Linked DNA regions of Mus musculus: all the other regions are reported to be linked to region 5. Evidence: microRNA targets listed by miRTarBase, many of them from high-throughput screens and not tested one by one. Region 5 holds a microRNA gene; each other region holds the end of a gene's coding sequence. Distances are from middle to middle.
What was found. Region 5 holds the annotated microRNA mmu-miR-669m-3p (AUAUACAUCCACACAAACAUAU, at 1,214-1,235, shown strand). A microRNA usually pairs through its seed, bases 2 to 8, with sites in the 3' UTR of a target mRNA and lowers its output. Matches are read on the target gene's strand: a 7mer-m8 pairs with bases 2 to 8, a 7mer-A1 pairs with bases 2 to 7 and ends in A, and an 8mer does both.

Region 1 (4,068 bases), not on the chromosome of region 5:
ATAAAAAGTTCTTCACTTCACAGTTTGATTTTCCCAATTGTGTTTCTTTTTCCCCCTTTGCTGCTGCTCCTGGGACGGCCTTCCATCAGATGAGTGCATCCTTCCAGCCAGGGAGGCTGAGTTTTACGAGCACACCAAGACTGCTCTGCTAGTGACCTCTGGCGCCATGCTGTTGCTGCTGCTGGGGGCTGCTGCGGTCGTGTGGCGGAAGTCTCGAAGCAGACCTGTGGCAAAGGGGCGGTACGAAAAGCTGGCAGAACCTACCGTGTCATACTCCTCCTACAGGAGCAGCTATCTTGACGAGGACCAGGTGATTGAGTACAGGGACCGGGACTACGATGAGGACGATGAGGACGACATCGTCTATATGGGCCAAGATGGCACTGTCTACCGGAAGTTCAAGTATGGGCTGCTGGATGAGACGGAAGATGATGAGTTGGAGTACGATGATGAGAGCTACTCTTACCAATAAACAGAGCCCCCTCCCATCTCAAACCCACCACCCACCACCCACCTCCCATCCCTTCCTGGTCCCTTCCTGGCTCTCAATCCTGCTGGGAGCTACCAATGCATTGGCTGAGGTCTGAGTGTTTGCTTTTGTCCTTACCTTGCATCCAACCCGAATATGTAGGGATGCTGGAGTCTGCTGTGCTGCTTTTCATTAGCTGAGTGCAATGAACAGATCCTGCAAGGAGAGAATTCGAAGGCATTTTCCCCGAGGGTATGTCAAGGGTATTAAATGCAGGAATCTAAAAGAACTAAGATCTGTTGAACACTCTAATGTGATTTTTAAAGTGGATGGAGAAGAGGACCTGTAAGGGTTCTGCTTTCAAACTGTAGTTGGAGACTCACTCTCATCCCCACAACTGCTACCTTCTAGAATTCTGATATTTGACTAAATAGAGGGGAGATGGAGTACTAGAGAGTTGTTGGAGCTGGGGTGGGAGGTCTCTCCACTTTCAATCGTGGAAAGAAAGAAAGAAAGAAAGAAAGAAAGAAAGAAAGAAAGAAAGAAAGAAAGAAAGAAAGAAAGAAAGAAAGAAAGAAAGAAAGACGGGAGGGAGGGAGGGAGGGAGGGAGGGAGGGAAAGAAAGAAGGGAGGGAGGGAGGGAGGGAGGGAGGGAGGGAAGGAAAGAGAGAGAGAGAGAAAGAAAGAGAGAAAGAATAATCAATCTGTGAAGACCAAGAAAGGGGACTTGAAGTTTCTTAAACAGTACTCCTGAAGAGCAACCACCTCCTTTGACTGCTTAGGACCCATCTATACTGAAAGGATTAGCAGCCTCAGAGCTGACAGTCCACACGCTAGCTGGGCCCCAGCTCCTTTGCAGAAACCCAGAACCATAGCCACCTAAGAGCAGAGGAAGGTCAGACGGAGGGAAGGCAGCACCAGGGCCAGAAGGAAGGAAACTGTTTCCAAGACTTTCCCCCTTGTGATTTTCTAAGAGCCTCTTTGATAGGAAGTAATAAAAGAAAAATTGTAATAGTAACACAAAAGACAAAAATTTCACTCACGCTCAACAATTAAATAAAGACTTCAGCTGCTAAATCAGACCAAAGTTGTCATCAATGAGTCATCAAAGAAGCTTGAATTCTCAGTAAGGATAGGTAGGTCAGAGCCTAACCTTAAAAAAATTCCCATCGTCCCTCTCAGGCTGCAAACAGCTGCCCGGGTCTCTTCACTCCTGCACTGTGCTTTGTTCCCAGGCTTCTTTTTGCCACTCTGGTCAAGTGTGTTAGATCATGTAACTGTGGGCACTTTTTCTGAACGTGGTGGTTCATAGTGAAGGCACGGAGCACAAAATGACACAAACAAAATCCCGTGGGGCTCCTTGTGACAGGTAATGCTATGCGGAGAACACCAAAAAGTGATGGGTAACATCATCACTTGATGACCAATCATAATACAATGAGTCGCACACCTGCCATGTGCCAGGCACTGAGCTAATTTACATATCTTACCCACTTCATACCTAACGACCAGCCAAATGCTGCCATCCATCCCTTATTTTCATAGAAAATCTGACACCTCCAAAAAGGATGAGCCACTTAGCTCAAGATTGAGGACAACTGATCAAGATTCAAGGAATAAGAATGCACTTAAAGCATGCATTCTTAATAACTGTGTGCCACTGAAAGTTATTACATCCTAAATGCAATAAAGCTATGTCTGTTACTTTACTCTATGACAGTTATCCTAGGTGCTATAGTAACATCTGTGAATGTAAATAACATTTACTAATAGGAAAGTCCAGTGCTTTTTTCAGCCCAGTGTGTTTCTTTAGAGAAAAGCCCTTAGGACACAGACCACAAAACAGTTTCTACCAATATCCAGTTTCCTTTTCAGGCTTTCTGAACTCAACGGCCTTTGTCAGGATTGCTCAGACCTACCATAGAGCACACATGGAGCCCAGTACAAAATAAATGAGTGAGCAGTGCTCCAGCAACACTTTTCATATGAACAGTAATATCTGAACTTCAAGTCGTTGTCACATATCATGAAATAACATCCTTTGATGGCTGCTAAAAAAGAGAGAGAGAGAGAGAGAGAGACCCCTGAATCTAGCAACAGGTGGCCCCAAACACTTCAGACATTATATGAGTCACATAAACATGGGATAAGTTCCCAAATTTTTGATCATTTAAAATGAACTCTCCAAAATCCATTTGATTGTTCACTTAACATAGCTTTAAAGAATCACCTTCAGGTCGATGGAAGAATCTATCCCTTGCTATGTAATTCCAGAGTCCAGCTATAGAAACAAGTAATTCTGGCTGCATATGCCATTTGTCTTCCTTGAGAATGTAGAAGCAGGCCGAGCTGCTCTCAGTAGGCTACAAAGCCATTTTCCCAAGAAAAAGATCTGTGCTTATGATGATGTACAGTCTCCCAAGCTGATCTGAAATACAAAAGAAAAAAAGAAGAAAAAAAAATGTGTCGTTACTCTTTGTGATTCACAGAGAAAGACACTGTGTGCCCATGTGATTAAGACCCAGCCTCCTGTCTGTGTAGACGTAATGCGTTCTTCTCAAACTGCCTTTGAATTCTATGCTAGCGATGCCCTGATGGGTAAACATGGTTGGAAAAGGTTGGAAAACACCTTTCAGGTTTTTGCTTGCAAATAACTTGAAAATGTTAAGACTAGAAATGCACCAGGAGACTGAGTAAAAAGCTCAGATGATGTTGACTCCCCGAAGAGAATGTTAAATTAAAAGTAAAGTGAAAGCAAGACCAGAGAATGCTACAAAGAGTTGCTTATCAGGAGACTATTTCTCAGCATTTTTATGTGCATGGTACTATGATGTACGGGATAATAGCTGCAGAACAGTAGGCATCCTGGGTTTTGTCTGCTTCGTTCTATCTACACCCAATGCTGAGCAAGTGTTACCATTGATGAATTTCCTCTCCAATAAACTGATCCAGTCTGTCTTTCAGCCTCACCACCACTGCCTCATCCTTAGCGTTACTGAATTTCAGTCCTTCTCCATTTCTTTTTCTCACTCCTGCTAGCAAAAGTCGTGCAGGAGTAGACAGGCTGCTGCAGGCTGCAATCTCGGTGTTCAGGAAACTGAACAAGAGAAATAGAGTATCTGGCCAGGAAAAAAGAGGAGAAACAGACAGAAACAGTCAGAAACCAACAGCATGAGATGGCCCAGCTCTTGTGTAGGCTTGACAATGGCAAATGGAGAAAACTGCCCTCTGTGAAGTTGTCTCTGACCTATGCATGCACATCATGGCACACATGCGAAGAAGAAGAAGAAGAAGAAGAAGAAGAAGAAGAAGAAGAAGAAGAAGAAGAAGAAGAAGAAGAGGAAGAGGAAGAGGAAGAGGAGGAGGAGGAGGAGGAGGAGGAGGAGGAGGAGGAGGAGGAGGAGGAGGAGGAGGAGGAGGAGGAAGGAGAAGGAGAAGGAGAAGGAGAAGGAGAAGGAGAAGGAGAAGGAGAAGGAGAAGGAGAAGGAGAAGGAGAAGGAGAAGGAGAAGGAGAAGGAGAAGGAGAAGGAGAAGGAGAAGGAGAAGGAGAAGGAGAAGGAGAAGGAGAAGGAGAAGGAGAAGGAGAAGGAGAAGGAGAA
Region 2 (4,068 bases), not on the chromosome of region 5:
TATCTTCTATCCCAGGAGCCCCATTGGGCCCAGCCTCTGCCTAAGCCATGTGTCCACTGTTCCTCCTGTCTCTTTTGTCTCTAGCCTCTGTTGCAGATGCAGAGCTGGGCTCCATTGTGGTCAGAGGACTTCAAATACATTGTTTAACAGGTTTCACTCTTTTTTTTCCCCCCAGAGACAGGGTTTCTCTGTGCAGCTCTGGCTGTCCTGGAACTCACTGTGTAGACCAGGCTGGTCAACAACTCAGAAATCTCCTGCCTCTACCTCCCGAGTGCTGGGATTAAAGGCGTGCACCACCACTGCATGGTTCAGGCTTCACTCTTTGGTCCCAGTTGTAATAGTAACAGGTGATATTTTAGAGAATATTAAATCATAGAATGAAGGTGTTTCCCTGGCCACTGGCCTCAAACATAAATTTTAACAGCACCATGAAGGAGTAAGTGTGACAAAGGCTGCCCTGGGGGTTGTGGTCCTTGCAGAGGGATCTGCTGATCTCAGAGCCTACTGTGGGCTGAGGCCTGCAGTATCTACCTAGAAACACTGAGGGTCAGGGGACAGGTGGTAGGACTTGGCAGACTGCCTATAGCACAGTCACCATCAGGGACACCTCTGTCAGGAACTGCTAAAGAAATCCATAGGGCTACCTGCTCCTATAGAAGGATCCATCCTATAACAGGTCTTCTGCCAAGGCTACACCTTGACCCACAGCCCCAACAACCTCATTACACCCTCTAAGTTAAGTTGACTTTCCTTTGAAGATGGGGCCCAGAGTCTCCCTGGTCTTCCCATGTTTCAGTCTTGCCTGCCTGTTTCAGGTAGATGGGATGTAGATTCTGTCTCAGCATCTTTCTGGTAGCTCCAGGGGCCTCTCGGGTACTCAAAGCGCCTGAAGAGGTGACTCATTCATAGATCTGAGAGGTGTCCTTGATCTGCCTAGGCTGCACCGGCACCTCAGCAGGCAGACGTGAGATTGTCTGGCTGTGGAGTGGCCCCGTGGGAGATACAGCAGACGCTGCTAGTCTCCAGACAGTCAGAGCCTCCATAGTTAGAACCACTGCTGAGGTGATTAAAGTTGTCATAACATCTCTGTGTGCTGAGGATATAACCTCATGAAATACTTTCCAGTGCAGGGATGCTGTGTGTGTGTGTGTGTGTGTGTGTGTGTGTGTGTGTGTGTGTGTGTGTGTGTATGTGTGTGTCCGGGTATGTAGTGTTACCTTTGTGAAGAGCTCTCTCTCTCTCTCTCTCTCTCTCTCTCTCTCTTCTCTCTCTCTCTCTCTCTCTCTTTCTCTCTCTCTCTCTCTCTCTCTCTCTCTCTCTCTCTCTCACACACACACACACACACACACACACATTCCATACAGATGGACATGCAATGTGACTCTGACAACACCCACTCACAACTAACGCTCTACAGGCACACATGTGCATTCACACTCACGTGAATACTCACTGTACAGCCACCTACACACTGGCCATGTGGATTATCATGAAGGAAGAAGGGAGGGACCTGGTAAAGCAAGGCCTGGAAAGCTGGCACAGACAACTTTCAGCCTAAGGGAGGTTGGTTCTGAGTCGAGGGCTCTGAGAAGCAGGGATGCTGCACATTATGACATTTCCCCACAGGACGTCACGGGATTCTGCTGCAGCACTTATCCAAGTGGACTCATGAATCTAAATCAATGTTGAAACACAGCCAGGTTCAATATTTAATGCCGAATTTCTTTGGTTGAATGAAGAGGTGTCTCTGTTCTCCCAGAGGCACCGTGGTAGAAAAGATGAGGGATTAGGCCCAGGGGAGCAGCCTGGATGGGGGCCAAGCCTCTCCCATACTGGTCTTCCTTGTCAAGACTGAGAAACACACACATGAATGCTACTGACCAGCCCGACCAAGGACAAACAATGTAAAACACTGTATTTTCCTCTGGATGGTCTGTATCTACAGTACGTACACAGCATGGTGGGTTCTGCACACATCAGCTACACAAGCAGGTAAAAAAGTCCGTTAGTGAAAGGAGCTGAAACAGCCTGGTGGTCCTTGGCTACCCACCTGAGGGATGGGTACAGAATGCTGCTTTAAGGGATATCACAGAGGAGCTTATGAATATCAGCTCTGCCTGCTAGCCTCCTTACTCAGATACTGAGTGTGTCTGCCTCTAGATGGCACTGCCCACCACAGGCTGCAGAATGCTGCCGCCTCGCCTCCAATGCTCTAGGAACTTACCTATGCCCTGTTCTCTGAGGCGGTTATCGGGAAGGCTATGCTCTGTGAAGCAAGTCACAGACTCACCCACATCTGCAGAGAAACCCAGCACTCAGGGCTGTGATACACACTAATTGTTTGTGGGTGCGTGTGAACACCAATGCGTCTGTGTGTGGACAGTGTGGTATGTGTGCATGTGTGGTAGTGTGCAGGCATGTGCACGTGCATACATGTGGTGGGCAAGCGTGTGGATGCACGTGTATGTGGTGTGCATAGTGTAACTGTAAATATGTATAAGCATGTGTGTACACACAAGTGTATGTACACACAAAGGTGTGTTCATATATGTATGCCAGTGTGTGTGTGTGTGTGTGTGTGTGTGTGTGTGTGTGTATACATATGTAGGCATATGCACTACAAACTGGGAAGAGAAAGCTGGAGAGGAAGGGTGGACAGTCACAGGTTGGCATCTCTGGGCTCTCACCTCTGTGAGGATCTCCCCTGGGACAAGACACTTGCTTGTACAAAAGGCTCATTGTTGAAATATACTCTTTGAGGTGGGGCTTTGTACCCAAAATGATCATGAAAATGGCAAAAAGGAAAAGAAACCGTCATCCATGATAAGAAACCTTCATCCGTGATGACCGTCACACCCCACTCAGCCCCTCCTTGTGGGACGGAGAATCTGACTACTACATGCTCACAATGGGACAGAATCCAGTCTGATAGAGGCCAACTTTCAACAGCACAGGCCCAGAGAGACTGTAGCCAGCTCCCTGAAGGCCACAGCCATGAGTTGTTTCCCCTCCCCATGGCTCCATACCAGGCCCATCCTTAGCACTTGAAATGACCTCAGGCTACCAGGCCAGGGCCATTTCCCATTACAGGTGCAGGTGGTGAGTAGGCCGAGGTGCCAGATGGCTCCCCCAGTGGAGATGCAGGTGTGAGGTAACGCAAGGACAGCAGGGGACAGGAAACTGCCCAGTGTGAGCGAGCTCTGGAGGGCCACTGCGGTGGTCCCTAGAGCAAAACCTAACATATATATACCAAAGGCAAGAACACCAGCTGGAGTCTTGGGGGGGGGGTGTCCTCCCAGCTTCCCTCCCAGCAGCGAGGGAAGGTGCTATAAACAGAAAGCAGGTGACTAGCTTATGGAGGTAAGCTTGGGGACTAGTGGCGGTTGTATGTGGCCCAGTGTTCTTCCCATGGGTTCTTATACAACAAAAGAGATCATGGCTGAGGGCTGGGAACCATTTCAGAACCACTTGGTCATTTGATGGCCCTTCCAGTCCACATAGCAAAGGGCCACTCCCTGCTCTGAAGCTCCTCCAGGGACACGTGGTGGCACTGGCGAAGAAGTTGTGTTCCCAACCTGGCTACACTGTAGTTTCATTTTTCCAGGGTCCTGTTCGGATGTTCCCTGTCCCATCAGTGCCAAATGGCAGGCCTTCTCGAACATCACCCTGGAGCAGCCCATTCTGGCTGGGGCCCCCAAAAGGCAGGGACTGTGTCCTTCGTAGCATCTCCAAGTGGGCAGGGCCTGGGGATAGGTGTGGGGGGCAGCCATAGAGCCCAGGGCTTGTGTCTCCACCCTCAGGCTGGCTGACCATGGGGAAGGGGTCAGCCTGGGCACAGCAGGCCAATGTGTGCATCCCCATTGGGCCCTCCAGAGAGCTGGTGGGGCTCTCCGAACGTGAACTGTGGGGACTGCCATCCAGGCTGGAGGGGATGTGGTAAGCATACTCCCTCTCAGCCGCAGCTGCCTGGTGCCGGCTGAAGTAGTGGGACTTAGTTCTGCCCTTGAGGCACCTGTGCAGGTGAGGGTCATGCAGGTGGGGATCGTGTGGGTAGACGTCCTCCTCAGC
Region 3 (4,056 bases), 27 Mb from region 5:
TAGAATTCATGCCTGCTCACTCAGATGTCATTCTGAGTGTCATTCTATAATACAGGCTTTTTATTTTAGAGCAGAAAACATTATGTATCAAGATAGAAGAGCAATTGATTTGTGAGAGATTTGTGGGCCTCTTCCAAAATGGTATGAAGTGGACTGACTAATCTGGAAATGGTTAATGATAATTACTGTAAGAATTTTTAACCTGAAATTTTTATTGGAGTCCTCTCCGTTTCTTTTCTCTGTAGGTTTGCCCAAGAGAATGGTTCTGTTACCCGTTATGAAATTCCCAACATATCCTGTTCCCCACTACTCATTCTTTTAGTAAATGACAGAAGCTCATTCCTATTGAACAACAATACAGTACAATGCAGAATGTTAGAGAAAAAGCCTTTTTATCCTGCTTTCTTTGAACACATACTTACTTGATCAAAATTATTTGTAAAGAACATCTTTCCTACTTTTTGATTTTAACAAATGCAAATTCAGTTCTCTAAAACTTGAAAACAAACAAAAGAAACCAGTTCTGTGAAACGGTACCTCATTCCTGGAAATAATTTATACCAGCCCCTTCGTTGTAGGGAAGTCTAGCAGCTCAAAGTTGACGTTTTAAGAGAGTATCAGATTATGTAAAGTTAAATTTGTGAAGGATGTATAGAGTCTCAACACTGATTACAAATAAACTGCTTTGTTGTAACACAGAGTACTGCCTGGTTCCTGATGCAGTCACTGATTGGTAGCTGAGTGATATGTGCTTACTCCAGGGCACTTGAATTTGGGCTGTAGTTATTTTTTTTTTAAATACAGTAGAAACTTTTCATTTAAACTTTAACTTTGTAAATAACGAAGTGTGTAATTAAAGCCAATAAAATATGGGTTTGAATATTGTTTTATCTTATTATTTTTGATATGTTTTGGTATCAAATTTCAAGGAATTGAAAACTAGTAATAACTTGGCCCTAGAAACCCATTTATTTGTAAGCAAGCTGCTAAAACAAAGCAAAGATGATTTCTCAATCTATTCATTTTGTAAGCTCTTTGTACTCCATTTGTACAAGAGCATCCCCATGATAAGGTTACATTCTGTTATTCCAGCATTGCTTATTAAAATGATGGCACCATCCAAAGATGGGGAAGGAGGATTGTGATTATTTTAGTTTACGAATTTCCAAGTTAAAAAAATAAATTAATCAATCACCCTCTTTTGTTCTTGTGGCCTTCTTCACTCTGTAAGACTCTGTGTTCACTCCTTGACTTTTTCCATGTAGATAGATGATTAGCAGGTTTTTTTTTTTTTTTGGAATTCCTTGAAGAGTCTCCTTTCCTCTTCTTTGATATCAGAATCTAAAGCAGCAACAGGATCCCCATAAAAACTCGCTCTCTGATTGTCCCAGTTCTTGTTGAGTGCTGCTGTGAAAAGTGACAGATTTCAGCCATGGGTCAGCATTTACTTTTAAGACACCTGATTATACTGGTAGAAACTGGGAGCCAGTAACATTGTGCTGGTCTGTGAAGGGTGCAGACCCAAGTCCTTCCTTGCATTCTCACCATGTTTGGAAAGCTGATGATGTTACTAGAAGGTAATGGTTTCATTAAGGTACTCACCCCCATTCAGGCACAAGTGTAGTCCTCTGCAGACACAAGTCACTATTCTTAAAAATGATTTAGGAAGTAACTACTTTTCTGTTAAATTCCTTTTCAAAACTTCAAGCAGTGCCCATCACTTGAAAGTGGTCTTACTAAACTTAATGTACCAGGCTCCTTTGGAAGGGAATGCGAGATGAGCCTGCGGGCACAAATACTGCTCAGATGTGTATCACACAGTCATTTGTTCCTTTCCTTGACCTTTGTTTTCTAATAGTGGTGGGTGATACTTTAATAAAACCTTGTCACTTGCTGAAAATAGCTTTAACTTGTCATTCTCATCATGTGTGTTAGTGGCAAGACATAATGGAGCAGGGCCCTTTTCAGCTGGGAATTTTCATGTTCATTGGTTTGTTTTGCTGACCTATGGATGAAACAGAGCCATCACTGAGAAGAAAAAGCATGGCTGCTAGTATCTAGTTTTTAATTAATTAAATATTTACAATGGTTCTGTTTTTGAAATACTATTAATTGGCAGTTGCAGTTGTATTGTTATTTGAAATTGACCATCAAATTTGGACTCTAGGCTGGAATCTGCCTTGAGATTTCTCTTTAGAAAAGACTTTTGCAGTCTCTGACTCTGCCTCATAACTCACCCCCTCTCTGATGGAGGAGGAAGCTGTGCTGTTCTCCAACATGATGGCCGTCATTTCAAATGGTTCCTACCAAGTCTTCCCTCTTTCTTCTTAATTTTGTTGTTTGTTGGAAGTTACTAACCATGTTGTAAACCTGCCCAGTTGCTGCAAACTTTTACATTTCTCTGCTTTACTTAAAACAATGGAGCTGTTGACCCTATGTTAGAAGTGGTAACCATGCAAGTTCAATTGTTTAAATTCTGTAATGAATTAAGTGTCCTCCCACCTTTTGCCCGTCCCACCCTTCATTTTGTAATGAAAATTCCACTTACAGTTGAAAGAGCAGAGAAATATAAATGAAGCTCTTAGCTTCGTCCAATTGTATGAGATTAACATAAAGTTCTGCTTCTCTGCTCTTTTCTCCACTGTAGGTGGTTTTTTCATTGACAGCCCCTATTGCCAGCCTCTGAGCGTCGCACCATTTATTATTCACTTGGGCCCTCAAGATTTCTTCTCTGACTTCTAGAACCATCAGGTTGTCTGGCTTGAATGGCAATTTTATATCTTGGTCTTAAGAGCAATGTGACCCCTAAGGCTTTCCAGCTTTCAGATCCACTCTAACCCTTTTTGAAATCAATGACTAAGAATTTTAAAAAAGAGCAATACTTTGTCCAAAGCCACGATGTCTGTTTTAAAGCTCTCCTTTTGGACATGTAGCAATATCTAGATGTAAACCCTTCAGTGTGTAGCTCTTGTCAGGGAGTTTACAGACCAATGTAGAATTTAGAATCTATGTGAGCAGTGCTATATCCTCTGACACTTTTTAATCGTTTTTAGTACATAACTTGAGCTTTTACTTTTCTGACTTTGCCAGCTAGCAGTATTATAATTAATCCGAGACAGGTGTCCTCCTTAAGCCATATCTTTTGGTGGGGGCCGACGCTTCACCAGAGGTGTGGCTGGCAACCTGTGCCCCTTAAGGCTGCAGGAGCGCCACATCTCTTGTGCCTCATAATGGCTCCATAGATTTCCAACATACCTCATGCTGATGAGGTTTGGTGCATAGTATGGCAAAGTAAGGGGTTGGGTTAAGTAGCTCCTGAGATTGTTTGTAATCCCTCAAACTGTTACCCTCTGGGAATGAAATACTTAATGGTTTTGCTTGGATTAGCATTTTCTTTTTTCTTCTTCTTCTCCTTTTTTTTTCTTTTTTTTTTAAATGGGTGAATGTTTGAAAATCATGAATCAGTCACCGTAATTAATTGAAGAGCTGGGAATACCTTGTTAATGTATTTTTAAAACTGGTGTTGGACCCTCTGTGTATTTCAGGTTAATACTTTTAAGCAGTTTTCAGCACGTTTATCTCACTTTATTCTCGTTCTCCTCGGACCTCCGTAGCCATATCACTTGTATAAAATAGGCTGAGATATAGTGACTGTAAGCTGTGATCTCAGTATTCAAAGGTAAGCTCTTTTATTTTCTGATTAAAGAAAACAATAACCAATTAACACAACCTGCATATATGACAATCATATGATGTATTTGATCTCTTAGGTCTTATGTCACTGCATTAACTTTAAATTTTTATGGTCTAAATGTAAAATAGTAATTTCCAGCATTTGTTTTAATACTCTTGTAAACGCTTTATATTCAAGAGAAACATTACACATTCACTGAGTCCAGTGTATGTGGGTAGAATTGTAGGATTTAATGTATATGTAATTTATACATAACAGAGGCACCTGCTTGAATATAACAATTCAGTTGTAGGAACACTATCTAAGGAGAGTCAAAATGACAGGGCACTGTCTTGTTCAAGGAGCTAGGATATCAGAATCAG
Region 4 (4,068 bases), not on the chromosome of region 5:
CTTCAAGCATTTGTACAAACGCGAGCTCCTGCGGCTTGCTGTGTCTTGTGCCAGTGGCTCCCCTCTGGACTTCATGAGAAGCTTCGTTCTCAAGGACATGCTGTACCTGGCTGGCCTCTCTTGGGACTTGGTCCAGGCAGGCAGCATAGAGCGCTGCTGGCTGCTGGGTCTGCGAGCAGCCTTTGAGCCTGGGCAGCAGCCAGCTCACCAGGTAGAGGAGACTGCCGAACACAGCAGGGTGCTCAGTGACCTCACACATCTGGCAGCTCTGGCTTACAAGCGCCTGGCACCTGAAGAGGTGGCCCAGTGGCTACACCTGGATGATGATGGAGGCCTTCCGGAAGGCTGCAGAGAAGAGGTGGCCCCCGCTGCTCCTCCATCCCCAGCTAGCCTGCCCTCTAGCATCGGGGCTGGAGAGGAGGAGGAGGAGGCCACCGAACAAGGAGGAGTGTTGGTACCTACTGCTGGGGAAGCTGTCTGGGGACTAGAGACAGCTCTGAGGTGGCTAGAGAGCCAGGATCCCAGAGAAGTGGGGCCGCTGAGGCTTGTGCAGCTACGTTCTCTCATTACCATGGCACGGAGGCTTGGGGGTATTGGGCCCTCAGCTGTAACTTCTGATGATGGTGTGTGACTACCTTGGCCCAGTGGTCTTTTTCCTGCCTCACTGGGAGAGAGGGGGCACATACAGTCTGCCATCTTCCACCTTTTCTCCCCGGTAGTCCACTGTATGGGTCCGGGGATGCAAGCCCAGCCCAGTTTGGAGGAGTTCTATAAGTAAAGGATGTACTGCCCCAATCCACAGGGTCTGGGGAAGTGGCTATGTTCTTCCCTGGGTAGGCACATGTGGGCACATAAGCACAGCCCCTACTGGAGAACAGTTGACTGTACTTCCACTCTGGCCCCTATGGGGCTCACACACACACACACACACCTACCTGCCTCCGAGTGCACTGCCTGAGGCTGCTGCTGTTTCATCTGCTTCCCTGGTGCTACCTGGTCTCATCTCAGTGGGGAAGCATTTGGTTCTTGGTTTTGTTTTAAAAACATTAAACCTGTTTGGAAAGATGCTCTTCCTGGGGAACCCATGAGTGCTGACTGACAGGGTGAGGTGGTCTCTGGGGCTCTCTTGCCCTTGCTCTGATAACTCAGGTCCTTATGGTGCTGGATCAAAGCCCAGGCTAGGCTCCATCCAGTCCCTGGTGAGCCCGGTGCCTGGTGAGGTTTTGGATGCAGCAGAGAGTATAGCAAATTCTGTTCTACTTGGATTTTTAGTCCCTCCCACTCCCCAGCCCCCTTTAAGTACTCCATTCTGGATAGGTCTTCTATTCATGAGGTTAGCAAGTGTTTGGATCAATGGGCAGGACAAACCACAAAGCACTTTGTTTAGCTCCAGGGCAGTCTGATCTACCTGGAAACATGCCCTAGCCTTTGCAACCATCTGGGAACTCTGCAGTGCCTTAGAGTCAACCTCTAGCCCCATGGGCTCTTCCTGCACCAGCCTTCTCCAGGAACTATGGCTGGATAGCCCAGGTTGAAGGAGAAAAGGCTCAAAGGAATGTCCACATTTTGTATCTGCTGCTCTGCCCAGCTGTGGATTCAGATGACTGCTGGCCGTCTGGAGCTAAGGCACCTGCGTCTTAAGGAGGGGCACTGTGTCTTTGCAGGAATTCCATCCAGAGCCTTTGTCCCGGTCCTCCTTGTCTTTATGTCTCCTACTCTGAGCCTTGCAAACATGAAGTGGAGAAGGGATGTAACAGCTTGGCAATGGGCAAAGCCTTGAGTGACGTATCCAAAAGTGATTTCCACCTAGGCCCAAGAATATAGTTCCTTGGAGCCACGACTACATCCCAGTCAAAAATCTGCATAAATATCAAAAGCTGAGGGAAAGCATAGAGCAACAGAACTGGAGCTCAGGTAGCAGGCTCCATCTATGCACACTAAGGACCATCTGACCACCTAAGTACCCAGCCTCCCCAAAGATGACCTAGAAAACCTTGGGCAATCGTGGCTGGTGGGGGTCTCCAGCACTAGCTACTTGGCTGGGTTTTCAAAAGTCTAATGTGTTTATACCAGCAGCCTCCATATCAGCCAGATACCCAGGTTAGGAACTACCATCCAGCTTTGACAGACCTGCTTTCAAATCTGCAGAGAGCCAGATCTGGGCCTTGGAGGTACACTCAAGGCTGGGTAGCTTCTAGTAGCTGCTCTTCAGCCTAGGTTACATGTACTGTTCTTTTGAAGAGGTTCCGATCTGGCCTGGGCTCAGGTAGACTGGAGTTGGCAGAGACTAGGGCTCAGGAGTAAGACCCCTCTCACCAGCCTCTCTAAAAGCCCCTTTTACTTGGGCCCAGGAGGTTATGACCTCATATTGCTGCTGCCTTATAAACAAGCAAGTACGGCCTGGCTGAGTGACAGGGTTCCTGTCAGGTTTGTGTTCGTGTACTACCATTAACGGGGCTAGGGAGATGCCCATGAGGCTCAAAGGTGTCATCTCAGGCTAGGGATGTAGTGCAGTGGTAGGATGTCTGCCTAGGATGCCAAAGGCCCTAGGTTCAAACAACTGCACTGTAAAAAGAAGAGAAAAGTACACTTAGAAACATTCTGGTGTTCTTTACATGCTCTAGGCGGGGGTTCAGATAGCTGCGTCCTGGTTGTGGAGGAGGCTACTTTGCCCAGGTTGTCCAGCAGGGAGTCCTATAGCTCTGAGGCTTACAGTGCCGAACAGCCCAGTGCACAGAGGCCTCAGCCCCCATGGCAGTTCACCTTTCTGTACTCAGTATCTGATGGAGCTTCACAGGGCTCATGGCCCCCCCAGGAGAGAACCTTACACTCTCACTGTATATGTATTTATGTATGTATGTATATATATATATATATATATATATATATATATATATACACTCACCCATTGGTGGTGTACCGCGCTCCCTGTGGGCAGGCACTGAGCTGCATGAACTAATGAGGTTGAAACTGTAGTTCCCTTCTTCAGCAGCCATTGCCACCTGCTGTGTACCAGGCCTCACTCAGGAATCCCAGTTCACTTGCCCCCAGAGCTCGGCCTGTTCCCCAAAGTGTGGTGATCCTTTGGCTTGGGAAGTACAGGCAGCCTTTTCTGCTAGGTTCTACCTTGGATTCATAAACAGACTGTCTGGAGAAAGCACCCAGCCCAGAAAGATGGGGAGTGTGGGTTTGTTGGTGCCACCAGCAGTGGGACACTGAGCCCTTTACACTACCTAGTTAGGATTGCCTGTGGGAAGCCCAGCCGTGACCTGGCCCACAACTTAGCCTCTTCTGAATGCATCCACAAGAGCATCTTGACGCCAGCAGCTGTCCTCCAGAGGCTTGTGGGCTTCCTGTCCTATTGTAGGGCCCTCTCTCTGCCACTCAGCCCTGCTCACAGCTGAATTCACCTGGCCCGTGTAATAAAGGTGAAACAGGTTGACGTCATTAGCTACCCTGTTTTAGTCTTATTTTTGTCACTGGGTCTAATGCTTGCATCTGGAACACTCCATAGGATGGGGGTTGGAGGAGTGCATTAAAGTGGGACAATAGCGATTACAGAGAATGCATGAGCACCTACCAGTTTTTACCTCAGAAAGCAGTGTATAGCAGGAAGAGGCCTCATGACAGTATCACAGTTGTATAGCCCCAAAGCTGCTTCTCTGAGTAGCCAACAGGCTGTGTTCCAGCCTGTCACCAGTGAACATAAGGCAATGTGCTCTAGACTGGCCAATGAAGGGATGTATTTCACCTCCCAGGCCGGGTCCCAGGGACAAATAGCCATTGGTTCACTACCATCACTGACCATCTTGGCAGGTGGGCTGCCCAAGGAGATCCCACAAAGGGGTGCCTTATACCAGACCCTGGGGTTCTATCCTACCTAGACTGGGGATAGCTTAGAGGCCCTGTTGCAGGGAAGTGGATTGCCTTGTGTCTGAACGACACGGAACTGATCCTGTAGCTGGGATGGTGGAGCCCTCTGCTGTCCGTATGGTCTGTCTTCTGGCCTTCTCACTGGCCAGCTCTCTCAGCACTTTGTAGAAACACAGCAGCTGAGCTGTTTTTCTA
Region 5 (4,068 bases):
GGGATCAACTTCGGATTCATGTGATGCCCCCAATCTATTTGCTTGTGTGTATATGTATGTGTGCATGAACATGTGTATATGAATATACATATACATACACACATACCCATACAAACATGCATACAAACACACAGAAAATGGATACTCATTGTTCTATTGAATGATATGTGTCTTAGAGTCTTAGAGATTCTGTATGACTGGGCCAGGGAGAGGTCACACTCACCATGTGACGCCCCTTGCCAGAGTCAGGGTGATCAGGAGTGCAAATTCATGTTAACTGCGTGATGAGGTAGAGATCAGCCTGTCATTCATGTGATGGCCCCTGTGTATGTGCATGTGTGTTTGTGTGTGCGTACATGTACATGTGTGTATATGAATATACATATACATACACGCACACATAGATACGCACGCACACACACACACAGGGATGGCACTCATCAATCCATTTGAATGATAAGTGACTTAGAGTGAAAATGCTTACTAGAGTTAAGAGTATCAGGAGTTCAAATTCATACTTATCCTCATGAGAATTTAGAGATCAGCCTGTGATTTATGTGATTCCTCCATGTATGTGCATGTGTGTATAGTTGTGTGTGCATGTTCATGTCTATATTTGAATATACATAACATACACACACACGTATAAACGCAAGCACACATACACAGATACAGGAATGGCATTCGCCAATCCCTTTGAATGATAAGTCATGTAGAGTTTTAGAGATTATGCAATAGGGGACATTGAATGGTCTCACCCACCAGGTGTAAAAGATTGACAAAGTCAGGAGGATAAAGATTTCAAATTCATGCTTAATTCAGTTAGAGATCATCCTGGTATTCATGTGATGCCACCCATGTATGTGCATGTGTGTTTACTTGTATGTGCATGTGCATGTGTTGACATGAATATACATAACATAAACACATGTGTATATGCAAGCACACACACACACACACAGAGAAAAAATTGCATTCATTTATATGTTTGAAAGATATGTGACTTAGAGCTTTAGCAATTATGTAGTACTTGGCCAATGAAACTTCTTACTTACCAGTAAAATGTTTTTCATATTCAGATGGATCAGGAGTTCAAATTCATGAGTAACTTCAAAATGGTGTACAGATCAGCCTGGCTTCATGGGATCCTCCCCAATGTATGTGCATGTGTGTATAGTTTTGTGTGCATGTGCATGTGTGTATATGAATAGACATATACATCCACACAAACATATACAAGCAAGCACAGATACACACACAGGAATGGCACTCATCGATCCATTTGAATGATAGGTGACTTAGAGTTTTAGAGACTGCAGTAGTGGGACAGTGAATGGTCTCAGTCACCAGCTGTAAATGATTGACAAAGTCTGGAGAATCAGGATTTCAAATTCATGATTAACTTCAGTTAGAGATTATCCTGGTATTCCTGTGATGCCACCCATGTATGTGCATGTGTGTTTACATGTGTGTGCGTGTACATCTGTGTAAATGAATATATATATATATATATATATATACATATATATATATATATATATATATATATATATATATATATAACATAAACATACATGTATATGGACACACGTATGCACACATACACACAAGGAATGGAATTCATTGATATGTTTGAATGATATGTGATTTTGAGCTTTAAAGGTTATGTAGTACTGGTCAAATGAAAGTTTTTCTCACTATGTAAAAGCTTGCCATATTCAGAGGGGTCAGGAATTCATATTCATAAATAAATTCAAAAGAGAGTAGAGATCAGCCTGATTTTATGGGGTTCCCCACAATATATTTGCATGTGTGTATAGTTTTGTGTGCATGTGCATGTGTGTATATGAATATACATATACATCCACACAAACATATACAAGCATGCACAGATATACACACACACAGAAATGGCACCCATAGATCATTTTGAGTGACATGTGACATGTGACATGTGAGTTTTAGAGAGTATGCCGTGCTGGGCCAATGAATGCTCTCACTCACAAGGTAAAGACCCTTGCCAGATTCAGGATGATCAAGAGTGTAAATTCATGTTGGTTGCATGATGAGTTGGAGATCAGCCTGGCATTCATGTGATGGCTCCTGTGTATGTGCATGTGTGTTTGTGTGTGCGTACATGTACATGTGTGTATATGAATATGCATATACATGAGAGCATACATAGACACACGTGCATGTGCGCTTGCATGCGCGTGCGTGCACACACACACACACACACACAGAGGATATGTGATTTACAGTCTTATAGATTATGTAGTAGTGGGTAATGAATGGTCGCACTCATCATGTGTAAACAATTTGCAGATTCAAGAAGATCAGGAGTTCAAATTCATGCTTAACTTCAGCTGGACATCATCCTGGTATTCATGTGATGCCACCCGTGTATGTGCATGTGTGTTTACAGGTGTGTGCATGTGAATGTATATATATGAGTATACATGTACAGACACATGCAGCACACACACACACACGAATGCCACTCATTGATCCATTTGAATGATATGTCACTTAGCATATTAGAGATTATGCAGTACTTGGCCAGTGAGTGCTCTCATTCTCTAGGTGAAAATCCTTGCTAGAGTTAAGAGTATCCCGAGTTCAAATTCATACTTATCCTCATGAGAGATCAGCCTGTGATTCCTCCATGCATGTGCATGTGTGTATAGTTGTGTGTGCATGTTTATGTGTGTATTTGAATATACATAACATACACACACACGTATAAACACAAGCACACACACACAGACACAAGAATGACACTCATCAATCCATTTGAATGATAACTGACTTAAGAGTTTTAGAGATTATGCAATAGGGGACAGTGAATGGTTTCACTCACCAGGTGTAAATGATTGACAGAGTCAGGTTAATCAGGATTTCAAATTCATGCTTAACTTCAGTTATAGATCATTCATGTGATGCCACCCATTTATGTCGATGTGTGTTTTCGTGTGTGTGCATGTGGATGTATGTATATGATTTTGCATATACAGACACATGCACACACATGCGGCACACACACACACACACAAATGACACTCATCGATCCATTTGAATGATATGTCACTTAGAGTTTTAGAGATTATGCAGTTCTGGGACAGTGCGTGATCTCACTCTCCAGGTCAAAATGTATGCTGGAATCAGGAGTTTTAGGAGTTCAAATTCATGCTTAACTTCATGATGATTTTAAGATCAGCCTGTGATTCATGTGATTCTCAGCCATGTATGTCCATGTGTGTATATTTGTGTGTGCATGTGCTTGTGTGTATGTGAATATATATATCATACGCACGCACACACACACACAAATGCAAGCACATACACTCTCACACACAGAGGAATTGAATTCATCCATTAATTTGAATGCTATGTGACTTATTCTTTTAGAGATTATGCAGTAGTGGGACAGTGAACGGTCTCACTCGCCATGTGCAAACATATTACAGATTGAGCAGGGTCGGGAGTTCAAATTCATGCTTAACTTCAGCTGGACATCATCCTGGTATTCATGTGATGCCACCCGTGTATGTGCATGTGTGTTTACGTCCCTGTGTATGCACATGTGTGTATATAAATATACATACCATAAACATACATGTAAATGCAAGCACACAAACATGGAATGGCATTCATTGATACATTTGAATGATGTGTGACATAGAGCTTTAAAGATTATGTAGTATTGGGCTAATGAAACTTTTTACTCACAATGTGAAAAAGCTTCCCATATTCAGAAGGATTAGGAGTTCAAATTTATGAATAACTTCAAAATGGCTTAGAGATCAGCCTGGCTTTATGGGTTCCTTCCCAGTGTATGTTCATGTTGCATAGTTTTGTGTGCTAATGTATGTGTGCATATGAATATACATATAAATACACACAAACACATACACACAGGCACACACACACACACACACACACACACACACACATACACACACACACACACACACACACACACATACCCCGAATGGCACTCATTGATACTTTTAAATGACATGTGACTTAAAGTTTTAGAGATTATGCAGGGCTGGATCAGTGGGTGCT
Region 6 (4,068 bases), not on the chromosome of region 5:
TCTGGGTGTGGCTGTGTGTGACTGTGTGTCTGTGCCTGTGTGACCGTGTATATGTGTGTGACTGTGGGGGGGGGGGCTGTCTGTGTCTGTGTGTGACTGTGTGTCTGTGTGACTGTGTGTCTCTGTGTGTGTGAGACTATGTGTGTGTGAGGTGTCTGTGTGTGACTGTGGGGGGCTGTCTGGGTGTGGCTGTGTGTGTGTATCTGTGTGACTGTGTATGTGTGTGTGACTGTTGGGGGGTGTCTGTGTGTGACTGTGTGTGTCTGTGTGTGTTTGTGGTGGGAGGGCTCAAGGACTTCCTCTTTATTACTCATCTTTAATTTTTGAAATATTGTATTTGTAAAAGGGAGGAAATGCCCCATTGTGGGAAATGTCACCTTTTAGGTAGAATAGATTTTAATTTAAATTCAGCGCTCTTTTGTTTTACATCCTTGACCATTTCAGCATAAATTTCCCCCAGTGTCCTAACTTAGAAAGTACTAATTACTTCCTACTAGAACCACTTAAGGAAGAGATTTAACCATGTGCCCAAATCACCTGGCACCATAGCCCAGGTCTTCATGGGTATTTAACAACAGAAACTGACAGGCAACTGAAGTTAACAGAGAGACATGGAATCGGAGCACTACATCTTTCAAGCTCTTTAGATTTGCGGATAAGTCCTTGAGAAGAAGATACAGACTGGTGCTAAGAAATGTCGATCTGAAATTGTTCTCGTGGATCAGGGGACAAAGTAACAATGGAGCGCTGGGGCCACTAGGCTGTGACTCAGGTCCAAATTCTTAACAGCAGTGTGCCTTTGACTAGGGCAGCCACCCGACCCCTGGAGTGGGTTTCCTCCTTTGAAAAACCAGGACAGACCTAAGCATCTTTGCTTCCTTTAAAGTTGCCCAAGAAAAGCTGTGATGACCTCCACTGCTCAGAGGGGGTTCGTAGACAGCCCCTGTCACAGAAGGCTCATGGACAGCCACTCGGGGGGGGGGGGGGTTCCTGGTTCACGGCCAGCTTCTCAGAGGGGGCTTACAGCCAGCAGCTAGCAGATGTGCACACGCAGATGAATTTGCTCTCTTTGTATTTGCTACTCTGGACACAGGGTTAGTTATTTTGTAGACGCCACTTGGGTTATCTTTGAGTTTTCTGTTCTGCGGTTACTTGCGTCTGATGTTGACTGCTTTGAAAGTGGTGAAGTGCTATGCTTCCTTTAGCACAAAGGCAGGCAGCACTAAAACCTCAGAGTCCCTGCTCATGGCTTTGGAACACCAACCAGAACCCAATGGTTTCCAGAGGAAAGAAAAGAAGAAAAGCAACAGGGGAAAGAGTACTTTTATTACAGGGCATGAAAACGTAGGGCCGTATAAAGGAATACATCATGAATTCATGTAGTATCAGCTACCCAGTGAAAAAATAACCAGAATACACGAGCAAACTGGACTGTGTGTGGGAGGATTACATATTTCATCTCTAACTACTTCCTTCCCCATCATCTACCAGTAGCAGCAATTTTAAAGTAACTACCCAAAGAGCTGTTACAAAGAAACATCACATGGGGGGAAACACCTCAAGAATGCTCGTTTATAAATGAACCAGTGCAAACTACTCAAATCGTAAAGAACACAGCCTTGGGCTTATCTTCATAGAGTAGGAAATAAGAGCCCTGAACATTCTTCACTAAGAAATTAAAAAAAAAAATGCAACTGTACTTTTATCAGTGAAAAATAATAATATAGATATTATAAAACATTCTTAACCCATGACTACAATGATTACACTTACTGATGTTCATTCAAGTACTGATAGCAATAAGCATTCAAACGCTCAGCAAAAGGACTGTGACACTGGACAAGCCCGGACAATGCTTCCTCTGAAGTGACAAGGGCCACATCAACAGGAGGCAGGTGACCCTTACATCAACAGGAGGCAGGTGACCCTTAGAATACTGTTGATGGTTTATTTTTGTTTTCTTGTTGTTTTTTGTCTGTAAAGGATTTTTCATAGTGTTTTTCATAGTGTGTGTGCATATATATATACATACATACATACATACATACATACATACATGTATATATATATGTATGCGCAATATTATCTGCAAGGACCCCATGGAACATCTTACAACAGCTAATTAAGAAGTTATTTCTATAAAATGAGTCAAAGATACCAAAACGAACATTCTAAAACTCAACTTTATGGTGATGACGATGATGGTGACGATGGTGATGATGGTGATAATGGTGATGATGACCATGATAAGGCAAAAATATGTTTTCTTTGGCAAGAAGTTGTTAATTCCTTACCAAGTGTTGGTTTGTGGGCTTTGTAGAAACTGTAAGAACACTCTGTTTACTCACCAAAGAGCTATTTAATGGGCTGAGAGTTCATAAACACTTTACCAGGCATAACAACAGTGGAGAGCTATGGCAAAATCAGGTTGAAATCAGCATTGCTTGTTGGACTACCATTATTAAAAACTCTTCCTTCAAAAAGCTCCTTTCTAATCTTGGCCTGAGTCTCAGGCTTTAACAAAAGTTCTTTTATCTGTTTCACTTTGGATTTCAGCTCCATCCTTTCTCGGTGCAAAGCTTCATTAATTAAGTCTTGGGTTCCAACTGGCTTCTTGCCTAAGGGGAAAAATTATATAATACATTTAAAGTACAAATATCAATGAAGTACATTAAATATGGCACATTGACTTATCAAAATAAGGCTTAAAAACCTTTAAAACATCACCCACATTTCATAGAAAAGATTGCATTTTACCAAAAATATATACTTTACACGAAACTTAATTTACTGTAAATAAAGATCACCGTGTGGTAACAACACATAGAGGACAAACAGGAAACATTGTGGACTCACTATACTAATGGTCATTTCAACAATGACAAACTGAACTTAGCACTTGATAGCTGTGTGCAAGTTTTGGCCTCCGATAAAGTAGTCAAAGGATCGAAGCAATGTAAACGGCAGTATTCTGTCTGTGGCAAGTCCTCTCCCTCCCTCCGCCTTGTGAGTCAGGCAGGCGGTCCGAAAAGCCCGCTCTCCCTTGTGCATGGTCGATGGCACACCGACTTAGTGTTGTTCTTCTGTAAATTAATTTCTTCTGCTGGTCCCAGCACCCCATTCTTTTCTGTTGTGTCGCAGCAACACCGAACGCATCAATCACATCAATCAGAGAAGTATTAGGTGATCTCCAGGGCTTGAACAAGACACATTGCGAGTTAGTCTACGACTTAGCAGAGGGGCATCGGACCGGACTGGATTCAGCTCTCACTTCCGGTTGTTATCACTGCCATCACCATTCCGATCTCCCTCCTCAGCTTTGGTGGAGTTCCCCTCCCCTGGCTGCTTTTTGTTCTGCGTCTCTTCTAGGTACTGCTGGACAGCCTTGAGCACGGCGTTCTCCACCAGCCTCTTACTGAGCCTGACCAGTTCAGCATCCTCAGGCTCCCTTCGGTCCTTCTCACCTACATTCCACAAGAGAAGAGAGGTCACTGAGCTCGTATTGCCATAGCAACTAGGCCACCAGGGTCCAGCTAGTTCAGCTAGTTAAAAGAGCAAGTGCCCTTCACTCTGGCAAATGGGATCTATAATTCCAACAAGACTGGGTTGCTTTTTCCTATGACATTTGTCCAAGCAGGAACCTGTCTATTCCTGCAGACTCTACGCTGAAAAGCAGCCCGACACACCCTTGCGGGCAGCGCCGCAGCCTTTCATTTCTACATAGCTCTGCGCTCCTCTCTCACCCAAGGCTTATGACAGCTGTGGAGCTGCCTGTACCCACACCTAGGGTCTCGAGCACATGAATTCACCAAGGAGCTCTGCATCTGCTGCTCCCTTTCCAGTGCTAGCTATCAGGAAATCAAGACTGCCCCCGTTATCTTACAGGTTAGGCTCACTCATGTTTAAACGCTTGGCATAGAGATCATTGTCGATAAACTCCCAGCGCTCACACACCAAGACAGGTGTAGTAATCACGACCAGTAGCAGCTGGTTTTAAAAAGGACTGCAGGGCTAACATCCTGATTTTAAAATCTCATTGCTATCACTGTAATTTTAGAGATAGGAAAT
Region 7 (4,068 bases), not on the chromosome of region 5:
AGACAGGGTTTGTCTAACCTTGGCTGTCTTAGGACGAGCTCTAGGTCTAGTAGATCAAGCTGCCCTCGAACTCACCAAGGCCTGTGTCTGCCTCTCAAGTGCTGGGAATAAAGTCTTAAAAAGAGTTCCTTTTATACTTCTGATCAAGACAGTCTCCAGAAAGATGGCGCAGGGATTAAAAGTACTTGCCACTCTGGCAACCCAGGTTTCATTCTCTGCGAAGACATGATGGCTCACCACTCACTAGAACTCTGGTTCCAGGGAATCCAATGCCCTCTTCTGGCCTCCCATACATATATAATGAAAATAAGTAAATCTATTTTAAGTTAAAAAAAAATACACCTGGGACCAAGTTATGCATGAGCCCAAAGCAGCACTGGAGTGACAAGAGGCGCAGAGCAAGCAGGTGATTGCTTTCAAACTAGCTTCCTAACTTGTCAATAACGCGCACGTGTCTTTCTTTTCAGGACCTCCTGGAATAGCTCTTCAGAGGAGCTGGGACTGCGTGTGCGTGGAGCCACAGTACCTCCTACACTCCCTGAGGCTCCGACTTGGGGAAATAAATTTCCCACCTCGTCGGCCCCAGCTCTGTTTCTGCCACTCCTGTCCAAGCCCAAAGGACCTACACTAAAGAAAGCAGGATGGGGGTGGGGGACCCCGACTGACCTCACAGTTGGCTCTGAGGAGAGGGGGGAAATTTTAAATTCTTTAACATTTTTGTTTCAATTTCTGTCTTTTGTAAGACTGTGGGCTTTAGGCTTCTCTTGGTTTGTTTTGTGCATTAAGGGACATAACTTGGGACTCAAAGGGATTGTTTCGCTGACCCCGCTCTTGTGTGTTCCCTCTGGTGCCCACCCCAGGGCATCTGCCAACTCCAGCATCAACTCAACTCCCACCGCATACCTGGTGCTGTCCCTGGGCTCTGCTGGTCATGTGAGGCAGCCTCGGAGAAGGAAGCAGAGGGTGTAATGACTGGCACACCTGGACAGCTTTTCTCCATCCGCAGACAGCCCTGTTCAGAGAGTACCGAGCACCAGCCCTGTGCGGCTTCCTCATCCCCACCTCACCCCCAACCACTACTGTAGGGCACAATGACTTTTCTTTTCCCGTTTAATTAGGCAATACCCTTGTTAATTGCCCGTTGGCAACTAACTTAATCATGTGCTTCCAACACACTAAATAGGGAAAACTTACAGGGCAATATTTTTAACTTGTGGCAAGAGGGAGGCAGAGAATTGACTAGCTCTGACACCTATTAAAGACAAAACTGGCTGCTTCTGAGCTCTTTCAGGCTGTACTTTGTGCTGTGCCAGTGGCTCTGCCCAGGCTCCGCCATCCCTTTACTGGAGTTCATTGGTCAGTGCACAGTGCAGCCACAGGACTGACCGTCGTAGGCTTCCATTTTTCCCATCACCCACTGTAAAGGCTCAGAGTTGAACTACCACTGTGGCTGCTTATTGCTTCCTCCTAAGTTGCTACTGTTCATAGAACTGGGACTGGGAATGTTTTCAGGTTGATGGACTTTTTCAAGCTCAAAGTTATGTTCCCAGACTATCCTCACCCTTCCCCTAGTTTTGCTGAGTTATTTGTTGTCCAGAACCTGTTGGCTAACCCCACTGAAGGCACATTTCTAGATGATGCCGTGTGTGGTCAATACATTGCTTTCATGTTTTAAATTTAAGGAAAAATTTTATCTGATATTTTTCCAAATTAAATAAGTTAGAGAATGCAATCGGCGGATGTGGGGGCGGCCATCTGGTAGTGGAAAGCTGTAGCGATCTGAGTACAGCTTAGATGTTAGCTGGAGAGGAAGATGGTGTGGCAGGTCTCTGGTCTCCCTACCCCTGCTGTGCTGATCACAGTCCCTCCCAGTTACCACTAGGACATTCTCTAGTAGATCCATTTTGCTGTCACTTTATTCTATGGCTAGAAAGTCAGTGGAAAGTAAATGTGCCAAACTCACTTGTCAGAACACACGAGCAGATGGCAGAGTCCTCCTCCCCAGCAGGAACAAACGGCATCAGGGAAAGAGGGGGAGGAAGAGGAGGGAGAAGAAGAGGAGGGAGAGCCAAAGAGATGTCAACTGCAGCTCAGTGAGTCATGGAACGTCAGTTAGAAAACGAAGTTAGGGTCGTTTCTGGGAAGAGAATCAATACCTGTTAGAGCCAGAATGCTCCAAGTCTTTTAGCTTGTTCATTTTGTAATGATTCTAAAATAATTCCAAAGATATAGCAGCTCATAAATTTATCAAAAGTTCTGTCCACCCTCACCTCCTGCCAAGGGGAGAGATCTATTTCTACTACACGCTGTCTCTCCCAGTACATCCCCGGATTGGTGTGGGTAGATAGGCCAACGTATGGTGATCTCCCCTAGTGTCTGGATGGACTTAATGCTCATCCCTGACCAGAGACTAGGGTGCTCTGCCTCTAATGGTTTCTGGGATTTCTGTAGAGCTTGGCAGTTTCTGGCTCATTTCTCTTGAGCACCGCACTATTCTTGCCATAGAGAGAGCCCAGGAGCCAACGCTGAATCAGGTGCCCGGAGTCTTTGGAGCTCTGAAACTCTCGGCTATGCAAGACCCCGGGTCCTTGCAGCAGAGCTTCTCATGGGTGGCTTGCTGGGGCCGGGCCGAGGACTCCTCAGAGGCGTTTCCTGCAGAGCCATTATTTTGACGCCTTTTTGTTTTCTTTTTGAAAAACAAAATATTATTCCCCTGCTTCATGGCTGAAATAAAAGGTGATGGTAACTGGGGGCACCCCCTCTCCCTGGGATAGCCACTGTCGGGGAGCACAGGACCAGCCTCTGGATCAGTCCCTCTCTGCCCCTTCACTTCTGTCTCTAGCTCACTGGCTCTGTGGGCTTGGGCTCTGCCCCTACAACGGCTCTCAGAAGCATTCACACGCACAGATGTGCAACCTCAGCCAGAAGTTGAAGCTCTTTAAGCCATTTTATTTATTTTGTTTTTTACAGAATTTGTGCTTTGGTTTGCCCTGCGCAGCCTTGGAGCATCATAAGCCTGGCTGGTGGGCATAGTTATTCTCAGCATTGTGGTGGCAAATGACGTTGGTTCTAGAGACTTAGAGACTTGGGCAATAGGATTTAACACTGCTAGGTAGCTCAGACATATCAGAAAATCCATAGTGGCCTGAGTTGTAAATCCAAAACATATTTTTGTTGGCTTGGGACGTTAGGGGCTTGGGGTTTTCCTGAGGCAAGAGGTCATGGCTGAATGGGCCTGTGCCGTGAATTGAATGGAACACTACTTTGAGGCCCTTGGAGAGTGACAGCAGCTATAGGGTGGACTCAGGAGCTGTCAGTCTTAACAGCTGAGCCTTGGACCCCACTGCCTCTGAGTCTACATTCTGGCAGGCAGTCCCATGCTCTGGGCCTTACCTCTAGTCCCCTGCCTGCTCACACCTGGTCCCCTAGCCTTTTCTCTTGGGCAGTGTAGTAGTATGGGCGAGCCACCCTCAGCTCTTTTATTGGCCGGGGCTATAAACCATGGCTGGGCATAACTATTCCGAACTGTCCCCCCATCAGGATACAAGATGCTGAGAGGGCTGCAGGGCCATTCCATCAAGCCCCAGGGTGAAAGGGCTGGCATGGCATCGCTCATTTTATTGCTCTGCAGGTAAACTGTATAGGTATAGAGTCCTCCAGTGCTCTGAAGAGCCCTGCCTCTATGCACGCCCCCGGCAAAGGGCTTGTCAGTAGGTCCCCCTCAACTCCATACTCAACAGGGATGCACAGGATTGCTAACAGAGGGCGGGGCACACCTCAGTTTTCTATCACCTTCCTACCAGAGGGGAAAGTAACCTGAACTTTAATGTCTTTTGGAACAAAACCAAAGTTTAAGATTTGCCATATGACGACGTGGTGACCGGGAAGTCCAGAGTCGGCAAGCAGGTGCCAGATTTTCTATCCCATCAGCCAGTGCTTCACCAGGTGCAGGCTGCTATGGGCTTGTGGAAACCACAGGTACAGGTGGGATTTCATGGGTCCATGTGTTACAAAAATAAGAATTGGAGCATTAACTTGAAATTGTCTTCAAGGACTTGCTATGTGCAC

Region 1: miRTarBase lists Pcsk5 as a target of mmu-miR-669m-3p. The part of its 3' UTR that is shown has no 7-base or 8-base seed match.
Region 2: miRTarBase lists Adgra1 as a target of mmu-miR-669m-3p. Seed matches in the 3' UTR shown: 7mer-A1 at 3,417-3,423 and 7mer-m8 at 2,596-2,602.
Region 3: miRTarBase lists Strbp as a target of mmu-miR-669m-3p. Seed matches in the 3' UTR shown: 7mer-m8 at 648-654, 7mer-A1 at 3,625-3,631 and 7mer-m8 at 3,927-3,933.
Region 4: the mRNA of Tigd5 is a reported target of mmu-miR-669m-3p. Seed matches in the 3' UTR shown: 7mer-m8 at 2,858-2,864.
Region 6: miRTarBase lists Akap7 as a target of mmu-miR-669m-3p. Seed matches in the 3' UTR shown: 7mer-m8 at 2,024-2,030.
Region 7: the mRNA of Sort1 is a reported target of mmu-miR-669m-3p. The part of its 3' UTR that is shown has no 7-base or 8-base seed match.

What each region holds. Positions count from the first base shown.
Region 1 is chr19:17,429,797-17,433,864 of GRCm38, reverse strand. Pcsk5 (proprotein convertase subtilisin/kexin type 5) reads left to right here. Exons shown (of 38, transcript NM_001190483.2): 38 at 90-1,551. The coding sequence ends at 472. Among named protein-coding and RNA genes, the nearest start is that of Rfk, 38 kb to the right of the region's middle.
Region 2 is chr7:139,875,706-139,879,773 of GRCm38, reverse strand. Adgra1 (adhesion G protein-coupled receptor A1) reads right to left here. Exons shown (of 8, transcript NM_177469.3): 8 at 1,686-4,068. The coding sequence ends at 3,580. Among named protein-coding and RNA genes, the nearest start is that of Kndc1, 17 kb to the left of the region's middle.
Region 3 is chr2:37,580,296-37,584,351 of GRCm38, reverse strand. It overlaps Strbp (spermatid perinuclear RNA binding protein), which reads left to right. Exons shown (of 18, transcript NM_001379315.1): 18 at 246-4,056. The coding sequence ends at 322. Among named protein-coding and RNA genes, the nearest start is that of Gpr21, 66 kb to the right of the region's middle.
Region 4 is chr15:75,911,089-75,915,156 of GRCm38, forward strand. Tigd5 (tigger transposable element derived 5) reads left to right here. Exons shown (of 1, transcript NM_178646.4): 1 at 1-3,447. The coding sequence ends at 631. Among named protein-coding and RNA genes, the nearest start is that of Tigd5, 3.4 kb to the left of the region's middle.
Region 5 is chr2:10,511,634-10,515,701 of GRCm38, forward strand. It overlaps Mir669m-1 (microRNA 669m-1), which reads left to right and starts at 1,157; the gene lies at 1,157-1,254. All of the region lies in intron 10 of Sfmbt2 (Scm-like with four mbt domains 2), which reads left to right. It overlaps Mir297b (microRNA 297b), which reads left to right and starts at 34; the gene lies at 34-142. It overlaps Mir466d (microRNA 466d), which reads left to right and starts at 334; the gene lies at 334-429. It also overlaps Mir669m-2, Mir466n, Mir669o, Mir466g and Mir466h.
Region 6 is chr10:25,167,785-25,171,852 of GRCm38, forward strand. It overlaps Akap7 (A kinase (PRKA) anchor protein 7), which reads right to left. Exons shown (of 8, transcript NM_001379238.1): 8 at 1,306-3,464. The coding sequence ends at 3,268. Among named protein-coding and RNA genes, the nearest start is that of Gm36313, 16 kb to the left of the region's middle.
Region 7 is chr3:108,356,762-108,360,829 of GRCm38, forward strand. Sort1 (sortilin 1) reads left to right here. Exons shown (of 20, transcript NM_019972.3): 20 at 468-4,068. The coding sequence ends at 482. Among named protein-coding and RNA genes, the nearest start is that of Mybphl, 6.1 kb to the right of the region's middle.